Oryctolagus cuniculus: one gene and its partners. The protein of the gene in region 1 interacts with the protein of each later gene in a pairwise test. Links are inferred from orthologs where the notes say so. Each region holds a gene or a part of one and is shown in the gene's direction. Other genes may lie near its edges. The genes, in order: LDOC1, AP1M1, TNNT1, RAB29, NRIP1, PLEKHF2 and FOSL1.

What was found.
Region 2: the proteins of LDOC1 (region 1) and AP1M1 interact in binary tests that used the Homo sapiens proteins (3 or more experiments, as listed by UniProt). The two-hybrid records come from large-scale screens. The link is inferred for Oryctolagus cuniculus from reciprocal best matches to the Homo sapiens genes LDOC1 and AP1M1.
Region 3: the proteins of LDOC1 (region 1) and TNNT1 interact in binary tests that used the Homo sapiens proteins (3 or more experiments, as listed by UniProt). The two-hybrid records come from large-scale screens. The link is inferred for Oryctolagus cuniculus from reciprocal best matches to the Homo sapiens genes LDOC1 and TNNT1.
Region 4: the proteins of LDOC1 (region 1) and RAB29 interact in binary tests that used the Homo sapiens proteins (3 or more experiments, as listed by UniProt). The two-hybrid records come from large-scale screens. The link is inferred for Oryctolagus cuniculus from reciprocal best matches to the Homo sapiens genes LDOC1 and RAB29.
Region 5: the proteins of LDOC1 (region 1) and NRIP1 interact in binary tests that used the Homo sapiens proteins (3 or more experiments, as listed by UniProt). The two-hybrid records come from large-scale screens. The link is inferred for Oryctolagus cuniculus from reciprocal best matches to the Homo sapiens genes LDOC1 and NRIP1.
Region 6: the proteins of LDOC1 (region 1) and PLEKHF2 interact in binary tests that used the Homo sapiens proteins (3 or more experiments, as listed by UniProt). The two-hybrid records come from large-scale screens. The link is inferred for Oryctolagus cuniculus from reciprocal best matches to the Homo sapiens genes LDOC1 and PLEKHF2.
Region 7: the proteins of LDOC1 (region 1) and FOSL1 interact in binary tests that used the Homo sapiens proteins (3 or more experiments, as listed by UniProt). The two-hybrid records come from large-scale screens. The link is inferred for Oryctolagus cuniculus from reciprocal best matches to the Homo sapiens genes LDOC1 and FOSL1.

The regions. Positions count from the first base shown.
Region 1 is NC_091453.1:119,608,682-119,611,998, forward strand, and holds LDOC1 (protein LDOC1), read left to right. Parts: upstream 1-1,209; 5' UTR 1,210-1,573; coding exon 1,574-2,014; 3' UTR 2,015-2,817; downstream 2,818-3,317. UniProt on the Homo sapiens protein: May have an important role in the development and/or progression of some cancers.
Region 2 is NC_091447.1:64,728,466-64,732,737, forward strand, and holds the start of AP1M1 (AP-1 complex subunit mu-1), read left to right. Parts: upstream 1-1,472; 5' UTR 1,473-1,602; coding exon 1,603-1,644; intron 1,645-4,272. UniProt on the Homo sapiens protein: Subunit of clathrin-associated adaptor protein complex 1 that plays a role in protein sorting in the trans-Golgi network (TGN) and endosomes.
Region 3 is NC_091449.1:3,705,175-3,709,263, forward strand, and holds the start of TNNT1 (troponin T, slow skeletal muscle), read left to right. Parts: upstream 1-1,289; 5' UTR 1,290-1,594; exon of another isoform or gene 1,595-1,686; intron 1,687-3,007; exon of another isoform or gene 3,008-3,424; intron 3,425-3,485; exon of another isoform or gene 3,486-3,791; 5' UTR 3,792-3,802; coding exon 3,803-3,834; coding exon of another isoform or gene 3,835-3,838; exon of another isoform or gene 3,839-3,844; coding exon of another isoform or gene 3,845-3,870; exon of another isoform or gene 3,871-3,881; intron 3,882-3,914; coding exon 3,915-3,928; intron 3,929-4,089. Other genes in the region: TNNI3 (troponin I, cardiac muscle), read left to right, coding at 609-692. UniProt on the Homo sapiens protein: Troponin T is the tropomyosin-binding subunit of troponin, the thin filament regulatory complex which confers calcium-sensitivity to striated muscle actomyosin ATPase activity.
Region 4 is NC_091444.1:21,088,742-21,092,206, reverse strand, and holds part of RAB29 (ras-related protein Rab-7L1), read left to right. Parts: intron 1-674; coding exon 675-746; intron 747-2,934; coding exon 2,935-3,116; intron 3,117-3,465. UniProt on the Homo sapiens protein: The small GTPases Rab are key regulators in vesicle trafficking. Essential for maintaining the integrity of the endosome-trans-Golgi network structure.
Region 5 is NC_091435.1:32,174,371-32,177,870, forward strand, and holds part of NRIP1 (nuclear receptor-interacting protein 1), read left to right. Parts: coding exon 1-2,649; 3' UTR 2,650-3,500. UniProt on the Homo sapiens protein: Modulates transcriptional activation by steroid receptors such as NR3C1, NR3C2 and ESR1. Also modulates transcriptional repression by nuclear hormone receptors.
Region 6 is NC_091437.1:120,560,765-120,564,264, forward strand, and holds part of PLEKHF2 (pleckstrin homology domain-containing family F member 2), read left to right. Parts: intron 1-2,032; 5' UTR 2,033-2,046; coding exon 2,047-2,796; 3' UTR 2,797-3,500. UniProt on the Homo sapiens protein: May play a role in early endosome fusion upstream of RAB5, hence regulating receptor trafficking and fluid-phase transport. Enhances cellular sensitivity to TNF-induced apoptosis.
Region 7 is NC_091432.1:5,879,230-5,881,804, forward strand, and holds the end of FOSL1 (fos-related antigen 1), read left to right. Parts: intron 1-753; coding exon 754-861; intron 862-1,138; coding exon 1,139-1,552; 3' UTR 1,553-2,075; downstream 2,076-2,575.

The DNA.
Region 1 (3,317 bases):
GAGATGCTATCATTCACCAAACATTAATGGAGACCTTTCTCTGGGCCAGGCTGGCTTCTAGGCACTAGAGATAAAGCAGCTAGCAAACAAAGCCTCTCTCTGCACCAACTTACATTCTACAGTGGAGGCAGATGATGAACAAAGTGCTCTACAATGTGCTGGCCAGGATTATGATGATAAATGTTCTGTATTGAAACATATAAGGTAAGGGGTTAGAGACTGGGTGGCACAGAACAGGGCGCTCTGAGAACCGGAGTGCTCAGGAAAGTTCTGTAGGAATGTAAGGGGAGGAGCCAGGCCTCTAACTGGGAAGAGCTTTGCAATTCAGAGGGATAAAAAGTACAAAGGCCTTGAGGCTGGAATTAGCTGATATGTGTAAGAATCAGCAGGGGGTGGGGTGTGATTAGAGCAGAACTGGGAATGGGAGACCTAGGAGAGTAGGCAGGGCCTTCCTTATAGGGCATGGTCAAGACTTTGTTTTTTATTCTAAGTGACAGGGGAAACTATTGGAGGGTTTTGAGCCAGGGAGGGAAGGGATCTGACTTCTGCGCTAAAGGATTCCCACAGCTACTCTATAGAGAACAGAGTGTAGGAAGAGAAGAAAGCAAGCTAAAAGTGATTGCTTTTAGCGGTCTGGCAATGGTAGAAGTGACAAAGAGGGCTGCATTCGTTGTCAAAAACTATTTGAATATTCACATTCAAATAGAAAAAAACATTAAAGAGCACAAATGTCTTCATGGTTTCCTCATTGTTAAGAATAACAACCATTGCCACAGGCTCTGATATCAGGACGTGAAACAGAGCCACACAGGGAGGTCACCTTAAGCGCTTATCAGATGGTGACTTTGCAGAACTTGTTATAAGCCTCTATTCAGAATTTTTTCAACACTTAGTAATGGTTTCTAAATAAAAGTCCCTGTTCAAATACCGCTTTGCGACGAAAGCCCGGACCCCTTAAGAGTCTTTATGACTCTGAAAGGATCGGTGATTGCAGCAGGGCAGTCAGCAGCGTCAGTACTTCTCTAGGGGAGGTTTGAAAAGGCGATTAATCCTATCAACAAAACATCGCACCCAAGAAACTGGCGTTTGCAGACCCGCGAAACAGTGAATTGTGCGAGTCGGCTGTCTGCGACATGGCGCTCAGTGCCCGCCAGGCCCTAGGCTAACGCAGGCCTCACATCCGGGGCTCGGCCCCATTTCACAGCCTTTACCAGTTCTCCTAGCGAGCCAGCACTTGTCTGCTCTCCGCGACACTGCGCGACCCTGCGCTTCCCTCCCCGGCCACTCCCTCCCTGGTCTCAAGTCCCCTCCAACGGTTCGCGGCAGCCAGGCCACGCCCCCACTGCGTCCTGGCCTCTTCCCCGGCCCCGCCCGCACCTTGCTGCGCCGGCGCGCCGCCTGCCTGAGTGGCCTCGGGGGCGGAGCTTGCGCAGCCGCCGGGACCCCACGCTCGCCGTCCCCCGCCCCTGGCCACAGCACTTTATAGGACACGCACTTCCTGCAAGGCCTCTTGTGTGCATCTTGGCCCAGCGGAGCCTACTCGAGCGAGCCCAGACCTTTCAAGCTGTTCGAGATGGTGGACGAGCTTGTGTTACTGCTGCACGCACTGCTGGTGAGGCACCGCGCCCTGAGCATCGAGAACAGCCAGCTCATGGAACAGCTGCGGCTGCTGGTTTGCGAGAGGGCCAGCCTGCTGCGCCAGGTACGTCCGCCGAGCTGCCCGGTGCCCTTCCCTGAAACGTTTAACGGCGAGAGCTCCCGGCTCCCCGAGTTTATTGTGCAGACGGCGTCTTACATGCTCGTGAACGAGAACCGGTTCTGCAACGACGCCATGAAGGTGGCATTCCTAATCAGCCTCCTGACCGGGGAAGCCGAGGAGTGGGTGGTGCCCTACATCGAGATGGATAGCCCCATCCTAGGCGATTACCGGGCCTTCCTGGATGAGATGAAGCAGTGTTTCGGCTGGGATGATGACGAAGACGACGACGACGACTATGAAGAGGATGATTACTAGGCCCCGAGCCGCTGGGGGCCTATGAGGGGAGAGCCCTGCACGCAGCCACTTCTCCCTCTCCTCCACCCCCACCCCATCCCACCCGACCTCCGGAGCTGCTGCACTCCCCTTGCCTTCCTGTTCTCCCCTCCCCAACCCCCGAAGTGCTTGTCTTTGTTCCAGGAGTAGTGCTCCAGCTACCTGCTGCTGGGGCTGGGCAGGGGCCTCACCCTGAAGCCGGTCATCTGATTTGCCTAGCCCCAGGACCTCTCCCCACCTCATCTGAACTGTGTCATAAGCCCCAGTTATAGGCCAGGCCCCTGTTACAAACTGCTCAGATCACACTGCTGCTGCCACCTGCCTCGCTGCCAGGCCTACACCTGCACAGAGACTCATGCTACCACTGCGCCATCGCCCACTGCAAGCCTCTGACAGATCATCGCTTTTAGAGACAAGGACCAACACAGAAGACTTCTGACTTGGCTACACCTTTTCGGACATTGATTTGGACAGCTCATCGGCCCCTCAAGGGGCTGTTTTTCAACCTGGTTAGTTCCCTACCTACTCCTAGGGTCCTCTACCCAGCCTGAGTGCTGCGGGGACCTGGTGTGCCTGGCAACCAAATTGTTGATGTCTCTTTTCTCTAATGCACAACTGTCGTTTTTCTTTCATAATTGCAGCAGCCCCACCAATGTGTGTGGTTGAACATATGTTTCTAAAAACAAAACAAACAAAAAGCAAAAACGCACTAAGCTCAGCTCCTCAATACTACCTGGAAAAAAAAAGTTGGCATTATTTTCAATAAATATCAAGCACTACAAAAAGTGAGAAATGATTGTCTTTTAATGGTTAAGTGCTATCACTGGCATCTGCCATGCTCACACTGACTCCTGCTATTCCCATTGATGTCCAATTCAATCCCAGTGGTCCCTATTGTCATCTCTAGGCTACAGAGGACAGTTTCCACGGGGCTTTAAAAATATTCCAATGCTTCCCTTACCAAGGCATAGCTTAAAGCCCAAACGGAATGTCTTCTGGGGCCTCCAGGGTGGCATGGGTAAGGGGTGGCTGAGCATGTGGCTCATCATCCCAAACCAGGACACTTTTGAGAGTAAAAGGGGATGCTATTACTAATCATGGTGACACAGCAAGCGTATAAACCTGGACACATGCATGAAGGGGCTTCATGAAGTCCATGGGAAAATGGAACTAAAATAATGTACATTTTCAGTGAACTTTGTGAAGCCCCCAGTGTGAGCCCTGCTTGTCTTTTGGGTTCCTTAACACTGTCAGGGAAGCTCTGTCCCTTAACCCTTATTGCCTG
Region 2 (4,272 bases), on another chromosome or scaffold:
GCAGCACTACTTCCGGTGAGCCTGCAGCAGAAACCTCTCCAGTGAGATTGAACAGAAGCAGCACTTCCGGTGAGATGAACAGAAGCGGCACTTCCGGTGAATTGCCACAGACACCTGAAACAGAAGTAGCACTTCCGGTGAGCTGGTTCAGGAGCAGCACTTCCGGTGAACAGCAGAAACCACTTCGGTGAGCTGCAGCAGTAGCATCACTTCCGGTGAGCCCGGAGCACCCGCAGCACTCTTCTTCCAGGCGCCTCTAATGGGTGTCCAGTGCCAAGGCAGACATTGCTAATCGATCGCGACGTTCCTCACCGTGGAAACCTTGGAGCACTGGTCCCTGAGTGGGCACGCGTGTGCTGTGATGCGGCGGCCGCGATGTTGGGAAAAACAGTGTCCGGGGGCCGCGCCGGGGCGGGGGCTGTCTGTGTAAAAGCCGCAGAATAAAGCAAAAGCGTCACTGAAGAGGAGTCTGGGCGTCTGATTGCCTGAGCCATAGCGGCCGGAGATGACTCCTGCCCTCTGTGCCGCGGGCTGGGTGCCCAGCGGGGAGCGCCTGACAGGCACCCAGCCCACCTGCTCATCCGGCGGGCCGGAGCGAAACCAGGGTCTCAGGGGAACGGCGGGAGGGCGCGGACCCAGCAGGAAGCAGTGTCCCGGGTAGCACTGGGATGCACCTGGCGCAGCAGGTAAAGCCTCCGCCCGCAGTGCTGGCATCACACAGGGGCGCCGGTTCGAGTCCCGGCTGCTCCATTTCTGATCCAGCTCTCTGCTGTGGCCTGGGAAAGCAGTACAAGACGGCCCAGGTCCTTGGACCCCTGCACCTGCGTGGGAAACCCGGATGGAGCTCCTGGCTTCGATTTGGCTCTGCTCCGGCCGTTGCGGCCATCTGGGGAGTGAACCAGCAGATGGAAGACCTCCCCCCACCCCCGTAACTCTGTCTTTAAAATAAATAAAATTTTTTCTAAAAACATTTCAGCTGAAGAATGCAGACACGCCGTTGGTTATGACCCGACCAGGGCCGCTAAAAATGTAGCAGGAAAGCACACGTGCCCAGCAGTGGCTTGCGGTTTTTCACGAGGGCATTCCGAGCAGTAAACCGCGGGCTGGCGCGGTGACCCACGTGGACACTGACAGGTGGCCGGAGGAGGCGGGAGGCCAGAGCTTGACCTCTGCACAGAGAAGCACCGCCTTCGCCCTGCCCTAGGACGCGTCACCCCTGGTGGCTGTGTGTAGGCTACGCTCCCCGGCCAGGCCGAGCTCCACGGGTCTGGACCCGCCCGGCTTCACCAGAGCGCCGCGGCCGGCCGGAGTCGCCCCGATTCCGCCGGCCCCGCCCCCCGCGCCCCACTTCCGGCCGCTCGAGGAGCGCAGCGAGAAATACGGTCTTCCCGGGCGTACTGCGCCTGCGCCTAGCCCTCCCGCACCTGCGCAGACCTGGCCGCCCCGCCCCCCTCGCCCTCAGCCCGGACATAACGGTCCGCGCGCGGCGCTCCGGGCCGGAAGTGGAGGGGAACCGTCGCCGGGCGCGCCCGGCCTCGCCCCACGCCCGGCCGTGCCCGCCGCCGCCGCCCTCGGTTGCCGCCGAGGCCTCCCGCAGCCGCCATGTCCGCCAGCGCTGTGTACGTGCTGGACCTGAAGGGCAAGGTACTGAGCGCTCCCCACCCAGCCTCCCCGCTGCCGAGTAACCGGCGGGGGCCTCGCCCTGTTAGGTAAACGACCCGTGGACCCCACCCAGCGGTAGGCGAGGCGGCCGGGCGGCCCCACCCGAGGGTCCCCCACCCAGCAGGGCGGGGGTCTCCAGTCCGCGAGGCCCGCCCTGCTGCCAGGTGGCGAGGTGGGCTGCCGCCTCCGCCGTTGCCAGGTAACGGGCGACGCCGCCCCTCCCCTGCACCCCACCCACCCCCACCGCCGCGTGCCCGCTGGCGATTCGGGCCGGGGTCTCGGGCCTCCGCGGCGGGGAGGGCGGGCCGCAGCCGGCCCCCGGCGTGGGAGGGGTGGGTGGACGGCGCGACCCTTGGCCGGAGGTGGCCAGGCGTGGCGGGGGGTGGTGGACAGCGTGCGCTCGCGGCCGGTCCCGCCTTCTCCCGGGCGCCGCCACCCCGTGGGAACCGCTGACGTCATCGTGACACTGAGTGAGGTTAGGGTTAAGGTGGCGTGGGCGGTGGACAGAGTGGGGAAACCGAGGCACGGAGTGGGCCCGGCGTTTGCAGGGGGCCCAGCAGCCGGGAGGGGCAGGTGTCCTGTGTCCTGGGTTCGGTGCCCGCCTCCGTCCACGCAGAGCCTGGGAGGCCCGGGTCGCTGGGGCCCCGCCACGCGCCTGGCGGGCCCGGGTCCGGTGCTCTGTTTGCAGCTGCAGCCGCCGCCAGGCGCCCTTCCTCTGGGCATCTGGGGGAGCCAACCAGCCGATCGCTGTGTTTGTCTCTTTCTGTGCCTTGCAGACAAAACCAGAAAAAGTTTATTTGGGTGCAAAAAAAATGTTTTTAATCGGTGCATAGGTTTTTTTTTTTTTTTCTCATAAACTTTTCCCTCGTGCGCATAGATTTCGGGGGGAAAATTGCCTCCAATTTTTTTTAACTTATTTGTTTCAAAGGCAGAGTTACAGAAAGAGAGGGAGAGAGAGAGAGGTCTTCCATCCGCTGGTTCACTCCCCAGTTGGCCTCATCGGCTGGAGCTGTGCCGATCTAGAGCCAGGAGCCAGGAGCTACTTCCGGGTCTCCCACGCAGGTGCAGGGGCCCAAGCACTTGGCCCATCTTCCACTGCTTTCCCAGGCCAGAGCAGAGAGCTGGATGGGAAGAGGAGCAGCTGGGACTAGAACCGGCCCTCATATGGGATGGCAGTGCTGCAGGCGGCGGTTTTACCCGCTCTGCCACTGCGCCGGCCCCAGCCCTGATTCCATTGCCCGTGACCTCTGAGAAGCCCCCTCATCAGGGCGGCAGGGGCTTCCCTGGGGGAGGGGCCAGGTGTGGCCGAGACCCAGGCATGTTTCCCAGGGGCCTGTGAGAGCAGCGCTGGCCAGGCCACCTCCCCACATGGGAGCCAGAACTGGGAGAGGCGCGGGTGCCGCCTGAGCCCGGGAGCAGGTGAGCGCGGCCGCCCCTTCCTGCTCCACCCGGCGCCCTCCCCAAGTCCCTGGCCCTCTGCTTGCTTTGGAAGCCACCCAAGAGCTGCAGCTCACGAGGCCGCCTGCAGGGCTTCTGAGCCCGGCCAGACCCGGGAAGCGGGAAAGACGACTTCCCCGAAGCTGCCCGGCTCCTTCCGCCAACGTGTCGGAGCCTCTCGCGCGACCCCAGCCTGTGGCCAGGTACAGGGTGGCCACGGGCCAGGCACAGGGTGGCCACAGTGCTGCCGCTGGCCGCGGCTGTGCACAGTGCCCGGGGAAGCTCAGGCCCCATGGGGGCTCAGCTCTGCCACCCTGTGCAGGGGAGCACTGGGGAGGAGGCGCTTCCCTCTCTGGGCCTCGCCTTTCCCTCCCCAGAGGCTTTGACAGGGCTGGCGTGGTGAGGTCAGGAGATACCGGCCCCACAGGCCCGGGACAAGGTCCTGGCAGTGCAGCTGGGGAAGGGGGAGGCGGGTGCCCCAGTGGGCTGAACGAGGTGACCAGGCGGCAGGTGGAAAGGAGGCGTCCGGTGGGCCGCAGGGCGGGACGCACACACACACACACACACACACACACACCCCCGCCAGCCCTCCGCAGCCGGGACGCCCCATATCAGAGGTTTCGAAAGTCTGCCTCCTGCACTGAAGTGTTTGCTCAGAAGTAAGGCAACAGCGCCTTGAGCAATCCGTGCCAGCCGCGGGCGCCCCGTGGGTGGGCAGAAGCTCTCCCCGGGCACCTGTCCACCTGCGGCCCAGAGCCCCTTCCCGCCTCTTCTGCTCTCGCCCGTTGACTGTTGGGTTCCGAGGGGGTGGGGCCCAGTCGTGTCTCCCCACAGTGCCCCTCTTCCCAGGCCCACATCCAGACAGCTTATCTGGAGAGCCACTGGCCTCCAGGGTGCTGAGTGGTCCCTGCCATGCCCAGACTTGCTGTCCCTTCTGTGTCCACGCTGGAGCCCCGGTGTTACTCTGGCCTTCTCCTCCCCACCCACATGGCCGCTGCACAGATGTTTCCTGGGCACCCGCCGCGGGCCAGGCTGTGTCCTGGGTGCTGGGGCACAGCTGTGAGAGACCCCAGAGCAGCCGCTGTTCTCAGGGAACCTCAGACAAATGAGGACACAGATGTGTGTATAGCCTGGCAGAGGGGACAGGCAGGGAGGACTTCCTGGAGGAGGTGC
Region 3 (4,089 bases), on another chromosome or scaffold:
GTGATGAGGAGACAGGAAGTGATGGGGGAGACACGCAGGAAGTGCATGAGGGGACAGACAGGAAGTGCATGAGGGGGACAGGAAGTGCATGACAGAGACAGGAAGTACATGAGGAGGAGAGGGGGACAGGAAGTGATGAGGGGACAGGAAGTGCATGAGGAGGGCACACAGGAAGTGCATGATACAGGAAGTGCATTGGGGACAGGAAGTGCATAATGGACATAGGAAGTGATGAGGGGACAGGAAGTGCAGGAGGGGGACAGGAAGTGCATGAGGAGGATACACAGGAAGTGCATGAGGGAACAGGAAGTGCATGAGGGGACAGACAGGAAATGCATGAGGGGTCAGACAGGAAGTGCATGAGGGGACAGGCAGTGCATGACACAGGAAGTACATAAGGGGTCAGACAGGAAGTGCATGAGGGGAGGCAGGAAGTGCATGAGGGGACAGACATGAAGTGCATGACACAGGAAGTGTGTGACTGGGACAAGAGGCAGTTAAGAGAACTCGGCCGACTGTAGGGGACAGGCAGCGTGGAGCGGTCCTGCCCGCAGCGGCTTAGGGAGAGGGGACCAGGAGGAGACCCTAACCTCTGACCGCACCCCCAGGAGAACCGGGAGGTGGGAGACTGGCGCAAGAACATCGACCTGCTGAGCGGCATGGAGGGTCGCAAGAAGAAGTTCGAGGGCTGAGCCCCGCACGGCCCGGCCCGCCCTGCTGAATAAAGCTGCTCCGAACTGCAGTGGCCGCGTCCTGGTGTGCTGGACACTGGGGGGAACGGGGGCGGGGCCGCCCTGCGCCTCCGACAGGGGCGCTCATGGCTGCACGTGGGGTGCACGCAGAGGCCAAGGACAAGGCCGACGGGGAGCACCCACGGAGACGCCCACGGGAGAGGGACTGAGCCAAAGACGCAAAGGAGGAGAGAGAGAGACGGAAGACAGCGGGCACAGACTCCCAGGGAACCTGTGACCGACAGGAGCTAGAAAGACACACGAGGACATGGACAGCCACAGACTCGCCCAGGGACCCCGAGCACCAGACAGAGGCCCGCCCGGAAGTGCCATCGACAGGACACACACCCAGGGGCCAGAGGGGGACAAGGACAGAGCCCTGGGAGACCCTGAGAAGGGCAGCCAGGTCCCCGGGGGGAGGAAGCCTGCTGTCCAGGGCTCTCTCAAGGTCATGGCTGGACTGGGGGGAGGGCTTGCCAGCCTCATTGTCACCCCATCCTCTCCCCCCCCCCACACCTGCCTCCCGGTTTTAGAGCCTTTTGTCACCAGAGCGGAATCCTGGTGGCAGACAAAGGGGTGGGGGCGGGGACAGGGACACACACAGGACAGACAGAGGCTCAGAGACCACCCATGGGGAGGCCTGGGCCCTGGAGCAGCCAGGAGATGCCTGGACCCTGACTCTGGAGCCAGAAGGGGCTGGGCCTCCTCTGAGCTCAGGAATTCCCCCCCACCCCGCGCCCCAGGGGCGGGGCTCAGCCTGCAGCTATAAACCCCTATAAACGCGGGGTGCGTCAGAGCCCTCAGCGAGGCCAGGCCAGGCAAGGCTCAGCCTGCGGATCCAGCGTCTGCATCCCCAGCCTTAGGTAACGGGGCTCTGCCGTCCCCACGGAGTGCCCTGGACGGAGCGCGAGAGCTGGGGTCTGGGAGGAGCAGGCTCAGAGCACAGGGCGCCTGGGTGCCGAATGCGGGGTGTCTTCCGGAGTCTGCAGGGACCTCAGGAGGGGTGTTCTGGGCTCGGCTGTCAGATAGTCTGAGTGGCAGGTTTGGGGGTCTCCAGCTCTGGGGGTATCAGGACCGGGGAGGGGTCTGAGTGTGGGATTTTGGGAATCGGGTCTCAGCATTTGTAGCGCCATAGCTCGGGGTGTGGTGCTGAGCCCTGAGCTTGGGCCCCAGGGTGCCCATCCTGACGGTGTGGGGCCGTGGGGTAGCCGGGCCCACAAGTGGGTTATCCAGGGGGTGGGACTGGAAGGGCTCTGAGCCTGGGCCAGGAGGGTCTCAGGGACGCGGGGTGTGCGTGTGTGTGTGTGTGTGTAGGGTCTCAGGGACGCGGGGTGTGTGTGTGTGTGTGTGGTGTGGAGGGTCTCAGGGACGCGGGGTGTGTGTGTGTGTAGTTTCAGGGACACGGTGTGTGTGTGTGTGTGCATGTGTGTGTGTGGAGGGTCTCAGGGACACGGGGTGTGTGTGTGTGTGTGTGTGTGTGTAGGGTCTCAGGGACGCGGGGTGTGTGTGTGTGTGGTGTGAAGGGTCTCAGGGACGCGGGGTGTGTGTGTGTGTGTGTGGTGTGGAGGGTCTCAGGGACGCGGGGTGTGTGTGTGTGTGTGTGTGTGTGGTGTGGAGGGTCTCAGGGACGCGGGGTGTGTGTGTGTGTGTGTGTGTGGTGTGGAGGGTCTCAGGGACGCGGGGTGTGTGTGTGTGTGGTGTGGAGGGTCTCAGGGACGCGGGGTGTGTGTGTGTGTGTGTGGTGTGAAGGGTCTCAGGGACGCGGGGTGTGTGTGTGTGTGTGTGGTGTGGAGGGTCTCAGGGACGCGGGGTGTGTGTGTGTGTGTGTGTGTGTAGGGTCTCAGGGACGCGGGGTGTGTGTGTGTGTGTGTGTGGTGTGGAGGGTCTCAGGGACGCGGTGTGTGTGTGTGTGTGTGTGTGTGTGTGGAGGGTCTCAGGGACGCGGGGTGTGTGTGTGTGTGTGTGTGGTGTGGAGGGTCTCAGGGACACGGGGTGTGTGTGTGTGTGTGTGTAGTCTCAGGGACGCGGTGTGTGTGTGTGTGTGTGTGTGTGTGCATGTGGAGGTGAGTGGAGGAGACAGGTGGTGACTCATTGTCCCAGAAGGCCCCCCCAGTCCTTCTTAGGAAATGTCCTCTGTGGACATCCCCCCAAAATAGCTGCCGGGGTGGGGCTGCTATTGTCTGCAGGCCCTGTCTCAGATCCCCTCCTAATCCAGGGGGATCAGGTTCCTGTCCTCAGACAAAGGGGACAGCTGTGCTGGGGGGCGGGGGCTGCCGCTCTGCCAGGCCCACAGCTCCAGGCCCTGCTGTCCCCAGCGCTTAGGCTCTGGGGGCCAGGCCCTCCTCCCTCTGACATGGGGGTCCCCCAGCTCCCTCCTCCCTCAGACATGGGGGTACCCCCAGCCCTCCTCCCTCAGACACGGGGGTCCCCCCTGTTCCCTCCTCCTTCAGACACGGGGGTCCCCCAGCCCTCCTCCTTCAGACACAGGGATCCCCCCAGGCCCCTCCTCCCTCAGACATGGGGGTCCCCCAGAAACTCCTCCCTCAGACACAGGGGTTCCCCCAGGCCCTCCTCCCTCAGACATGGGAGTCCCCCAGCCCTCCTCCCTCAGACACGGGGGTCCCCCCAGGCCCTCCTCCCTCAGACATGGGAGTCCCCCAGCCCTCCTCCCTCAGACACGGGGGTCCCCCCAGGCCCTCCTCCCTCAGACATGGAGTCCCCCAGCCCTCCTCCCTGACACGGGGGTCCCCCCAGGCCCTCCTCCATTAGACATGGGAGTCCCCCAGCCCTCCTCCCTCAGACCAGGGGTCCACGCCCCTCCCTCCTCCCTCAGACCCAGGGATCCCCCCCAGTCCGGTCCTCCTCCCTCAAACACGGGGATCCCCCAGCCCTCTACCCTCAGACACAGGAGTGCCCCAGGCCCTCCTCCCTAAGACCCGGGGGCCCCAGGCCTTCTCCCTCAGACCCAGGGGTGCAGGCCCCACCTCCTCCCTCAGAACCAGGGGTCCCTGGGCCTCCCCCTTCAGACCCCACAGCCGTCACCTCTTCTCTCTGGCGCAGGTCACAGCAGGATGTCGGACACCGAGGAGCAGGAATATGAGGAGTGAGTGACAATGGCAGGAGGGAGGGGCTTGGAGAAGCCCCCTCCCCGCCCCAGACTCTCTGACCCCCATCTCTCCCCAGGGAGCAGCCAGAGGGTGCGCAGAGAGGAAGCCGCCCGGGGACAGAGCCGCTGGCCCACCCCAGCCATCGCCCATCACCCACCCCAGCCATCGTCCACCCCAGCCATCGCCCATCACCCACCCCAGCCATCGCCCATCATCCACCCCAGCCATCGCCCATCATCCACCCCAGCCAT
Region 4 (3,465 bases), on another chromosome or scaffold:
TCCCAGGAACTGCTCAACGGAGAGAGGGGGGCTGGTCTCACAATCACTGCTGCCCTTTTGCGCCTGGCCTTGGAGTCACATGGATTGTGTGGGCGGGAGAGCAAAAGTCGGGCACCCCTTTGGAGAATAGGAATTCCCTGTCCCCCACTTAATATGCCAGGCTGAGCTCATTCAGACCTACTGAGGGCTTAAAAATAAACAAACGAATGGCTTTGGAATTGTGTGTCCCCAGGGTTGTAACTGCTTCTCGGATATGAGTGTATCCCTGTGGTTTTTTTGTTTTGTCGTTTTTGTTTTTTTTAATTTTCAGGGAAGGGTGATTGTGGCCCAGCCTGTTAAACCCCGGCCTGGGATGCCCGCACCCCGTGATGGAGTGTCTCGGTCAAGGCCTGACTGCTATGCTTCCTGCTAATGCACTCCCTAGAAGGCAGCAGATGATGGCCCAAGAGCTTGGGCCCTTGCCACGTATGTGGGATACCCTGATGGAGCTCCTGGCTCCTGGCTTCAGCCTGGCCCAGCCCAGGCTGCTGCAGGCATTTGAGAATAGAACCAGTGAATGAAAGATCTCGTTTGCTCGCTTGTTCACTGTGCATTCAAGTAGATGCAATAAGTAAATAAAAATCTTTTTAAAATAAAAGTAAATTCTGTTAAAATACGACCTACCTGTGTTTCAGTGGACTTCGCGCTGAAGGTGCTGCAGTGGTCCGACTCGGAGGTGGTGCGGCTGCAGCTGTGGGACATTGCAGGTGAGCTGGGAAGGCCGGCTAGGAACAAGCGAAGGCCTGTGACCTCACCAATAAGTGCTTAGAAAAGAAGCGGGCCGGCGAGACCAGAAAGGTTTTATCTGATTGGGCTGCTCGGAGGAAAGGAGCCGAGAGGAGGGGGAGCTTGGGCAGATGTTCTGCCCGGGATGGACCTGGAGCGGCGTCTGGCTAGGAGGAGGAGCTAGCAAGGTGGTGGACTATCCCAACTGGGGGTGGATGTTCCTATAGCAGGGGTTTGCAGCTGACTCTGAGGAGAAACAAGGAACCCAGAAAACAGGATGATAATACTGGACCCTTACTATGCCCCAAGCACTTTCCTGCGGATGTTAAATTCAGCTGGTGGGGTGCAGGGGAGGGAGGAGAGCAGACAGAAGCAGATTGGAAAACAGGTACCAAAACGCAGAGAGAAATAACAGATTCTAGGGACCGGTGTTTGGCATAGCTGTGTAGACATGCCCCTCACCACGTCCACATGCCATATCCAAATGCCTGGATTTGAACCCCAGCTCTGCCTCTGATGCTAGCTTCCTGCTAATGTGCACCCTGGGACACAGCAGATGATGGCTCAAAAACTTGGGTCCTGCCACCCACCTGGGAGACCCAGATTCAGTTCTGGGTCCCTGCCTTTGACCTGGCCAACCCTGGCTGTTGTGGGTAAACCAAGGAATGAAAGATTCTCCTCTCTTTTTCTCTTTCTCTGTCTGCCTTTCAAATAAATAAAAGTGAATAAATATTCAGTAAAAGAAGCACTAGATTCTAGTGTTTTTTTTGTTGTTGTTGTTGTTTTTTGACAGGCAGAGTGGACAGTGAGAGAGAGAGACAGAGAGAAAGGTCTTCCTTTGCCGTTGGTTCACCCTCCAATGGCCGGCGCGCTGCGGCTGGCGCACCGCGCTGATCTGATGGCAGGAGCCAGGTGCCTCTCCTGGTCTCCCATGGGGTGCAGGGCCCAAGTACTTGGGCCATCCTCCACTGCACTCCCGGGCCACAGCAGAGAGCTGGCCTGGAAGAGGGGCAACCGGGACAGAATCCGGCGCCCTGACCGGGACTAGAACCCGGGGTGCCAGCGCCGCAGGTGGAGGATTAGCCTAGTGAGCCGTGGCGCTGGCCTGATTTGATTGTTTTATGCTATATACATGTGCTGAAATACTGCATAGTACCCCATGAAAATGTACAGGAAATGGGGGCCAGTATTTTGGCATAGTGGGTAAAGCTGCTGCCTGTGATGCCAACATCCCATATGGGTGCAGGTTTGTGTCCTGGCTGCTCCACTTCCAGTCAAGCTCCCTGCTAATGGCCTGAGAAAAGCTGTGGAAGATGCCCAAGTGTTTGGACCCCTGCAACCTATGTGGGTGCTCCTGGCTCCTGGCTTTGGCTTGGCCCAGCGCTGGCTATTGTGACGTTCTGGGGATTGAACCAGCAGATCTCTCTCTGACTTCCAAAATAAATATAAATAAATAAATAAAATGTACAGGTGTTACATGTTAGTAAAAACTTTTAGAATAAAATTTTCTTAATTCAGGGACTCATTAATTCCAACAACCCTATCATAAAAGCTGATTTTCTAAAAAGATTTATTAATTTATTTGAAAGCCATAGTGACAGAGAAAGAGAGAGAGAGATCTTGCGTCTACTGGTTCACTCCCCAAATGGTTGCAACAGCCGGGGCTGGGCCAGGCTGCAGCCAGGAGCCAAGGACTCCATCCAGGTCTCCCCCAGGGATGGCAGGGGTCCAAGCACTTGGGCCATCTTCTCCTGCTTACCCAGGAGCACTAACAGAGAGCTGGACTGGAAGCTGAGCAGCCTGGACTCAGACTGGCACTCCAGTTTGGGATGCCAGTGTTCCTAGTGGCAGCTTAACCTTTCACTGTGCCACAACACGAGCCCCAAAGCAACTGCTTTTGACTTCACTTCACACACGAGAAATCTGAAGCACTTAGCAAGTCACACAAATAACAGTAACTGAGTCCAGATCTGGAGTGGGAGACTGGGAGCAGAGTCTGCCTTGGGGATGACTGAGTTTAGTAGGCCCTCTGTGGGATGGAGAGAAGACCAGGAGTGGGAGAGGGCAAGTCAGAAGGTTCCTGTGTCGCGTACGGGTGAGGCCTCTCCGACAAGAAAGGGCCGGTGGGCAGGTGGGGTCACCTTCTCGAGGGCGGCCCTTCCTCCCCAGGGCAGGAGCGCTTCACCTCCATGACGCGGCTGTACTACCGGGACGCCTCCGCCTGTGTTATCATGTTTGACGTTACCAACGCCACTACCTTCAGCAACAGCCAGAGGTGGAAACAGGACCTGGACAGCAAGCTCACCCTGCCCAATGGAGAGCCCGTGCCCTGCCTGCTCTTGGCCAACAAGGTCTGTGGCCAGTGTGAGAAAGTAACTCCCATTTCTTCTCTGTGGTCAGAGAGCAAGCATATCTGAAATGTCCTCTGGGGGTAGGCTTTTCCCCTGGCGGTCAAGCTGTCACTTGGGGTGCCCGAATACCATAGCAGTGCCCGGATTTCCGTCTCTGCCCCACTCCCACTTCCTGCTAATGCATCCCTGGGAGGCAGCAGGTGAGGACTCAGCTGGGAAACCCGGATTGAGCTCCTGGTTCCTAGCCTAAACCTGGCCTAACCCCAACTGTTGTTGGCAGTGGGGAGTGAACCAGTGAAGGGGAACACACACAGACACTCTCTCTCTCTCCCCATGTATCTTTTTGCTT
Region 5 (3,500 bases), on another chromosome or scaffold:
TTGCAGCAGTATTCTCGAGAACATGCTTTAAAAACACAAAATGCAAATCAAGTGGCAAGTGAAAGACTCGCTGCGATGGCCAGATTGCAAGAAAATGGCCAGAAGGATGTTGGTGGTTTCCAGCTCTCGAAAGGAATGCCAACCCATCTTAACGGTCAGGCAAGAACATCGTCAAGCAAACTAATGACTAGCAAAAGTAATGCTACAGCATTTCAAAATCCAATGGGTATTGTTCCTTCTTCCCCCAAAAATGCAGGCTATAAGAACTCACTGGAAAGAAACAGTCTAAAACAAGCTGCCAATAATAGTTTGCTTTTACACCTTCTTAAAAGCCAGACCATACCTAAGCCTATGAATGGACATAGTCATAGTGAGAGAGGAAGCATTTTTGAGGATAGCAGTACACCTACAACTATTGATGAATATTCAGACAACAATCCTAGTTTTACAGATGACAGTAGCGGTGATGAAAGTTCTTATTCTAACTGTGTTCCCATAGATTTGTCTTGCAAACACCGAATCGAAAAAGTGGAATCTGACCAACCTGTTTCTCTAGATAACTTAACTCAGTCCTTGCTCAACACCTGGGATCCAAAAGTCCCAGAGGTGGATATCAAAGAAGATCAAGACACCTCAAAGAATTCCAAGCTAAATTCACACCAGAAAGTAACCCTTCTTCAGTTGCTACTTGGCCATAAGAATGAAGAAAATGTAGAAAAGACCACCAGCACTCAGGGAGTACACAGTGATGTGACAAAGTTCAGTCCACAAAATTATACAAGGACTTCTGTAATAGAAAGCCCCAGTACAAATAGGACTACTCCAGTGAGCACTCCACCATTACTTGCATCCACCAAAGCAGATTCTCCCATCAATCTTTCTCAGAACTCCCTGGTCATCAAATGGAATTCCACACCATATGCCTGCAGTACTCAGTCTGAAAAGCTAATGAATGCTGCATCTAACCACTTGATGGACCTGACAAAAAGCAAAGAATCACAAGGAGAGAAACCAGCCCAAAATGAAGGTGCACCAAACTCTGCCACTTTCAGTGCCAGTAAGCTGTTACAGAATCTAGCGCAGTGTGGGATGCAGTCTTCCGTGTCAGCGGACGAGCAGCGCCCCAGCAAACAGCTGCTAAGTGTAAACCCAGACAAACCGCTAGGTATGATGGAGAGATTAAATAGCCCTCTGCTCGCAAATAAAACAAATGCAGCTGAAGACAGTAAGGCATTCAGTAGTCAGTCAGCAGCTCCTGAGCCAGGACTTTCTAGTTCTGAAATAGAAAATCTGCTTGAAAGACGCACTGTCCTCCAGTTGCTCCTGGGAAATACCAACAAAGGTAAGAGTGAAAAAAAAGAGAAGATTCCTATAAGAGATGAAAGTACTCAGGGACACAGCGAGAGAGCTTTAAGTGAACAAATACTGATGGTGAAAATAAAATCTGAGCCTTGTGATGACTTACATATTCACAACACAAATCTGCACTTGAACCATGATACTAAGAGTGCCCCACTACTGGGTACGGCTCCTACCATGCAGAGAAACGCAGCTGCCTTACCAGCATCCGAGGACTTGAAATCGGAGCCAGTTTCACCTCAGGATTTTTCTTTCTCGAAGAATGGTTTGTTAAGTCGGTTGCTGAGACAAAACCATGAGAGTTACCTGGCAGATGACCCGGACAAGAGCTACAGAAGCAGCGAACTAACGCTTCTGGAATCAAAGAATCTTTGTATGGTCCCTAAGAAAAGGAAGCTTTATTCTGAGCCATTAGAAAATCCATTTAAAAAGATGAAAAATAACATTGTTGATGCTGCAAACAATCACAGCGCTCCAGAAGTACTGTATGGGTCTTTGATTAACCAGGAAGAGCTGAAATTTAGCAGAAATGACCTTGAATTTAAATATCCTGCTGGTTCTGGTTCAGCCAATGAAAATGAACATAGGAGTTGGGCCCGAGAGAGCAAAAGTTTCAATGTTCTGAAACAGCTCCTTCTCTCAGAAAACTGTGTGCGGGATTTGTCCCCACACAGGAGTAACTCTGTCGTTGACAGTAAAAGAAAAGGACACAAAAATAATGTGACCAGTAGCAAACCTGAATTCAGCATTTCTTCTTTAAATGGACTGATGTACAGTTCCAGTCAGCCCAGTAGTTGCGTGGATAACAGGACATTTTCATACCCAGGAGTAGTAAAAACTCCTGTGACTCCACCTTTCTCTGAGCACATGAGCTGTGCGGGTTCTCGGCCAGAAACTGGGCCTTTGAGTGGCTGTCCCGGGCCCAGTGAGAAGGGACCCATTAAGTGGGTTATCACAGATGTAGATAAGAGTGAGTATGAAAAAGACTCTCCAAGACTGACCAAAACTAACCCAATCTTGTATTACATGCTCCAGAAAGGAGGCACTTCTGTTACCAGTCGAGAAACGCAGGATAAGGACATTTGGAGGGAACCTTCTTCTGAAAGTGTCTCACAGGTTCCAGTCAAAGAAGAGTTACTCCCTGCTGCAGAACCTAAGGCTGCTTTTATCAACTTACGAAGCCCTTACAACAGCCATATGGGAAATAATGCTTCTCGCCCACACAGTGCAAATGGAGATGTTTACGGACTTCTGGGAAACATGCTAACAATAAAAAAAGAATCCGAATGAAATGTACCTACCAGTCAGCTTTGGATCACTTTAAAACTAATTAGTATGAACTTGAGATCTGTATAAATAAGAGCATGATTTGAGAAAAGCATGGTATAATTGAAACTTTTTTTTATTTTGAGAAGTATTGGTTACTGGTGATGTTTAAATATGCATACTAATTTTTGCTTAACATTAGATGTCATGAGGAAACTACTGAACTTAGCAATTGGTTGTTTCACACTTCTGTATGCATCAGATAACAACTGTGAGTAGCCTATGAATGAAATTATTTTATAATCATAAATAAGAGGCATAAGTTAAAATGTAAAACTCCATCCATAGTGGATTACTGCATTTTGATGCCTTGAATACGGTGTTTCATTTTGCTTTTCAGAAGTCAGCCTACACGTTTTTTTAAAAATCCAAACTCTTAAATAACTCTTAGGGAATAATATCAAATTAAAATTTTAGTTCTGATTCACATCTCATTATCCAGTAATAAATTATCCAATAAATCAGAAAAACTATATACTTAACATTTTTCACTTTTGCTAAAAGACATATTTGTTTTTAACTCTTGGAAGGGGTTTTTTGATTCCCAGTATGTCTGCCCGCCCCAGTCCTTTTCAATACATATTTCTTTAAACCTTGTACTACTTAGTAAAAATTGATTACAATTGAGGGAAGTTTGATAGATCCTTATAAAAAAGGACAGATTTCCATTTTTGTATTTTAACTACTTTACTAAATTATTACTCCTCCTTTTACAGAATTAGGGAAGTTAACATTTGCGTTCAGGTGGTTTCCTGAATAGTTGAATATTTAAGAAATTGTTTATAACAGAAGTAAAATGGCTTTTCTTTGAACAG
Region 6 (3,500 bases), on another chromosome or scaffold:
ATGCTGTGTTGAATATCCTTGTACATACATTCATGCACTTAGTGAAATTCATAGATTGAAGTGTACCAGGGTTATCTGTTTCCCTATACCCTCACAAGTACAGCCTGTTGAAGAACTGTTAGGATTTTGTTAATATGATAAGTGAAAAATATTGTAGTATTTTAAATATCTTGTCTTTAATTATGAATTGTCAAGCTTATTTTCATGTTTGTAAGCTGTTTTTATTTCCTTTTCTGTGGTGTGCTATTGCACACTATTGACTGACAGATTAGATAGCCCTGATTCAAAAAAGAAGCCCTCAGAGTTTGGAGCCCTACATTATCAAATTAATCCTTGGGAACAACTTTCAGGGCTGCTAGAGCCCGCCTTTGTGGAGAACAAGGGGACTTTATAAAGACCTAAGATTGGGGAAGAGACAGAATTAAGGAATAACCGCAACCTATCTCTTATAATGGAGGCCAAGAAGGATTACTGTCTCATCAAAGTTCTCATCGGGAACTTTGACTTTAGATTTAAATGTTCTACTCAAACTTTATTCTTCTTTAATGTGAGTTGGTTGTATGGTGGTGGTATTAGTAAGTCTGAAATAGGACAAAACCCTGGGACTCAAGTGAGATCAATATTGGATCCAGTGATAAATTTATGATATTAAATTTGTCTGACTTTTTTCAGATCATTAAAATGTTCTTAACATTTTGAAGTACCTTTGCCATGTTATATATACCACATCAGTTTCAAAGGTTTATTTCAAACTATTTCTGCCTTTTACGTTCTTCCTCTGTGGAGGAGAGATTTTAATCCTTTGGTAAAAGTAAAGCTAGAAGATAAATGGAATATGTCAAGTACGGAGGAAAATTTTTGTAGTCTAGTTTGGGAGTTTAAGAAATACTTCTTGGAGAGATGATAATTTAAACCAGGTCTTGAAGTGTAAATAAGATTTAGCTTAAGTAATAGTAAGTAGTAAAATAAACAACAGTGAGATGTACTGTAAGTAACAGGGTATTCAGCATTTGAGGGGAGGTGTGACTTACGGTGATGCCGAGGCAATAAGCAAAAACCAGGTAAGGAAGTCCTGTAAACACCACACCAAAATGCATGTGTTTTACAGGCTAGAAGGAAACATTTTAAACAACGACAGGGTCACACTAACATTTTAAAGATCATTGTCTAAAGATTGATTTAAGGGACAAGACTGAAACAGTTCCACTGAATCAGTTAAGAGAATTGGTCTTGGCTCAGTGCTAATAGCTGGCTGGGAAAATGGCAGTCATTTTTCTTTTTTCCCCTCCCCTCCCCTCCCCTCCCCTCTCCTTTTTTTTAAAGATTTATTTATTTTTTTGAAAGTCAGAGTTACACAGAGAGGAGAGGCAGAGAGAGAGAGAGGTCTTCCATCTGCTGGTTCACTCCCCAATTGGCTGCAATGGCCAGAGCTGTGCCAATCCAAAGCCAGGAGCCAGGAGCTTCTTCAGGGTCTCCCAAGTGGGTGCAGGGGCCCAAGGATTTGGGCCATCTTCTACTGCTTTCCCAGGCCATAGCAGAGAGCTGGATTTGAAGCGAGCAGCTGGAACTCGAACCAGCACCCATATGGGATACCGGCACTTCAGGCCAGGGCGTTAACCTGTTGTACCACAGCACTGGCCCTTCATTTTTCTTAGTTTATTTAATATTTAATAGTTATTTAATCCCACTGAGATTAAATTTCATGTAGCTGAACCTGTTATTTTGCAGGGGTGACTTAAAATATTAACTGTCCATTTTGTTTTCATTCTTTTATGTCTGTAAGAAATCTGTGCTTTTATAAATACCTGCTGATCTAGTGTGATGCTGTATGGAAATAAAGTGTTTTGATATTCATAAAGTTGAGAGATACTAGCCCTTTAGGTATGCTTCTTGATTATCTTTGAGGTACAGAATTTGTGCATTTTACTTTTGCATGAAAGTAATGCATTGTTAGATTAAATTTATGTAACTCATTAGCCTTTAGAATATATACTTTCTGTGAGCTAATTTATTTTTCTTTCTTTTTCTAAAGGCTATTAGCAGAAGATGGTGGATCGCTTGGCAAACAGTGAAGCAAATACAAGGCGTATAAGCATAGTGGAAAACTGTTTTGGAGCTGCTGGTCAACCCTTAACTATACCTGGACGAGTCCTTATTGGAGAAGGAGTATTGACTAAATTGTGTAGAAAAAAGCCTAAAGCAAGGCAGTTTTTCCTATTTAATGATATTCTTGTATATGGAAATATTGTCATTCAGAAGAAAAAATATAACAAACAACACATTATTCCCCTGGAAAATGTCACTATTGATTCCATCAAAGATGAGGGGGACTTAAGGAATGGGTGGCTTATCAAAACACCAACTAAATCATTTGCAGTTTATGCTGCCACTGCCACTGAGAAGTCAGAATGGATGAATCATATAAATAAATGTGTTACTGATTTACTCTCCAAAAGCGGGAAGACACCCAGTAATGAACATGCTGCTGTTTGGGTTCCTGACTCTGAGGCAACTGTATGTATGCGTTGTCAGAAAGCAAAATTCACACCTGTTAATCGTCGTCACCATTGCCGCAAGTGTGGTTTTGTTGTCTGTGGGCCCTGCTCTGAAAAGAGGTTTCTTCTTCCCAGCCAGTCCTCTAAGCCTGTGCGGATTTGTGACTTCTGCTATGACCTGCTTTCTACTGGGGACATGGCCACATGCCAGCCTGCCAGCTCGGACTCTTACAGTCAGTCATTGAAGTCTCCTTTAAATGATGTATCTGATGATGATGACGATGATGATAGCAGTGACTAAGGACACATTTTGAAATATTTAATTGGGTGTGGCTATTTGGGAAATCAGCTTTGTGGAAAATGTAAAATTCTGAGCTCTCTCAATTTTGCTCTAGCCATGAATTTGCCTGAGAAACTTTGAACCTATGTGCCTCAATGTATTCTATAGAAAGTAAGTCCCTCCTGCCTTCTTCCCCTCCCACAGTCTTCTACAGGGATAGACTTGCAAATATAGCAGACACATTTTGAATTTCTTACTGTTGTTTATTTCTAGATTATTTTCTTGGAAGGTTGGGAAAAGATGCTTATTTAACAGATCATGTAGTATGTTTTTCTGTTATATGGAAAAGCTAAAAGCACAGAATGATGGAGAAAAGAGTATAATGTGTTTAATAATATTAGCTTTTTTCTAACCACTTTACCTAGTGGTTCAAACATCGGTAGCAAAAATACATGATTTGGAAATACTTTGGCGTTTTCGTATACCCAGTCGTGCCTTATCTTAATAGCACTGTTACATGAACAATAAGCCCCTACTTTCTCACTTTTAGATTTGTTTAAAAAACACACTGGTGCTCTTTGAGGTAATATAATAAGTGTTTATGAATGAGTTCAGTTAAGAATACTTCTCATCTGACAGCTACAAATAACAGTTTAGAAGTATCTTCATACTAAATGAATGTTTTTCTATAAAGTAGTTGTGATTACATTTTTTTATTTTATAGA
Region 7 (2,575 bases), on another chromosome or scaffold:
TACATGGGACCACGGTGGAGAGAGGGCTGTCCCGGCAAAGCTCGCGCTGCAGCCGGGGTGGAGCTCAGGGTCCTGAGAAAGGTGTGAGACCAGCCAGGAACAGGTGGCCAGAGACAGAAGGGCTGAAGCCAGCCAGCGGACCCCTCCCGTGGCCGCTTCCTTCAGCCCTGTCCTAGGTACTCCCAGGTTGGTGCTGCCAGGGGTCCTCTTGGGGGCGTGGTCTCCACTCACTGGCCTCTCACCCAGTGGCTGGAACCGTACGCAAGTCATGTCTCCCCGCCCCCTTCGGCCCCCGGGCTTCAAGTCCTGACCTGGAAGGCGGGGCTGAGCTGCACAGAGGTCAGGTCCCCCCGAAGCTGCGACTTCCGTGGGTGCTCAGCCCCTCCAGCACTCCAGATCCTGGGGGACAGACGTGGCAGTCTGAACACAGAAGGATGGGTGCCCCTTGCAAAGGGAAAAGCCCACCCCAGGGAATGGGGGCAGGAAGGTGTCCTGTAGCCCGGGGCGCCCAGCTGAGCCCTGGAAGCTGAGGTTTGTGGGAGCAGGAGTGAGCACTAGAGCTAGGGCAGAGGTGGGAATTGGCCATTGCTACGCAGCACCCGAGTACGGGGAACCAGTGTGGGTGCAGTGGTCTTCAAATCACAGACCGGGGTGGGGGGGCTCCACATGGCCAGGGGCTTACCCCTGGAGGGGGCAAGGTCACAGCAGTGACCCGGGGTCTGTCTCACTGCCGCCTCCCCCCCGACCCCCCAGATCAGCCCAGAGGAAGAGGAGCGTCGCCGAGTGAGGCGGGAGCGGAACAAGCTGGCCGCGGCCAAGTGCAGGAACAGGAGGAAGGAACTGACCGACTTCCTGCAGGCGGTGAGCGCTGACCCCTGTGGGGGCACCCAGGGTCCCCCTGAGCCTCATGGGCACCCTGGCTGTCCCTCTCCCGGGACAGTCCTGGGAGAAGCAGCACTGAGCCCAAGTCCAGCCAGCAGCCTGTCTGAGCCACCCCAGGCCTCATGGGAGTTGTGCCCATGTTTTCCCAGGGGCTCACGGGAGTTGCAGTCCAGCCGTGCTGGAGACGCCCCACCCCGGCGGGGGCCACGGGGCCTTCCGCCCTCACCCTCCCTACTCCCCTTTGCCACCTCTCCAGGAGACGGACAAGCTGGAGGACGAGAAGTCCGCGCTGCAGCGGGAGATTGAGGAGCTGCAGAAGCAGAAAGAGCGCCTGGAGCTGGTGCTGGAAGCCCACCGCCCCATCTGCAAAATCCCAGAAGCAGCCCAGGACAGCGGCGACCCAGGCGGCTCCGGCGGCACCAGCAGCCCGCCCGCCCCCTGCCGCCCAGTCCCTTGCATCTCCCTCTCCCCGGGGCCCGTGCTGGAGCCCGAGGCACTGCACACCCCCACGCTCATGACCACGCCCTCCCTCACTCCCTTCACCCCCAGCCTGGTCTTCACCTACCCCAGCACCCCTGAGCCCTGCTCCTCCGCCCATCGCAAAAGCAGCAGCAGCAGTGGGGATCCCTCCTCAGACCCCCTGGGCTCCCCAACCCTCCTGGCCTTGTGAGGCAGCCCAGCCCCCCTCCTGCAAGGCGCCACCCCAGAAGGCATCTCCTCCCCCGCCAGCCCCCGCCCCGTTCCCAGGTCCAGCTGGCCTGGACCGCCCGGCCCTCGCCGCGCTTCTCCATCCCCCCAGGTGAAACCGAGCACATTTGCACCAAATCTCAGACCAAACATCTCCCATCTGTCAGAAAAACCCAGAGAGACTTTGTATGACCCCCTAGGGGCCCTGTGGAGCCCACACCCACCCCCCACACTGTCCAGGGAGCCTGTCTCCCAGCCTACAACACTAACTCACCAGCCCCACTGCCAGCAGCGCACGGCCACGGGCCGACCCCTCCGGCCCGCACAGTCCACGAGGTGTGTACCACGGGCTTCTGTGACGAGCTCACCTGTAGCCCCCCTCTGAGAAGCCTTTAGCCCCCAGGGAATCCAGGCCTCCAGAGGGAGGGGCAGCTGCTATTTATTTTCCAGAAGAGAGTATTTTTATACAAACCTGCCAACATGGAATAAAAGGCTTGAAGCTCTGGTCTGGGGGGTGTGTCCTTGGGCCCAGAGTCGCCAGCCCTGGGTGTGGGTCTCCGCCCCACAGACTGGCCCCGTGACCTTGGACAAATTGATACTTCTGGATCCTGTCTTATCTGACGCCGGCGCCTCATTGCCAGCACGGAGAGAACGGGGTGCTCCGGGGTGAAGGTGGGGGGGTTATCGGTCCCTCTCCCCTGGGAGCCAACAGAGCTGGCGCATGTGCCACGGGGGAGGCACTCTTCCACCCCCACCCCACCCCCGCGTCCATCCTCAAGACGCGGCCAAGTGGGTTCTAGGCCCCCAACACCTGCTTCCTGCCCCATTGTCTTGCACAGGAAGGGAGCAGGAGCCACTTCAGGGGCCGGATCCCGGTCTGTCCCGGCACTGGACTGGGGGAGGGGAGAGAGTCCCGCATTCCCACCCCAAACTCGAGTGGGTAGGGGAGTCGGCCACCTCAGTTTTGCGGTCGCGTCGGAAGGGAAGGGTACCCGGTCCCGAGCCC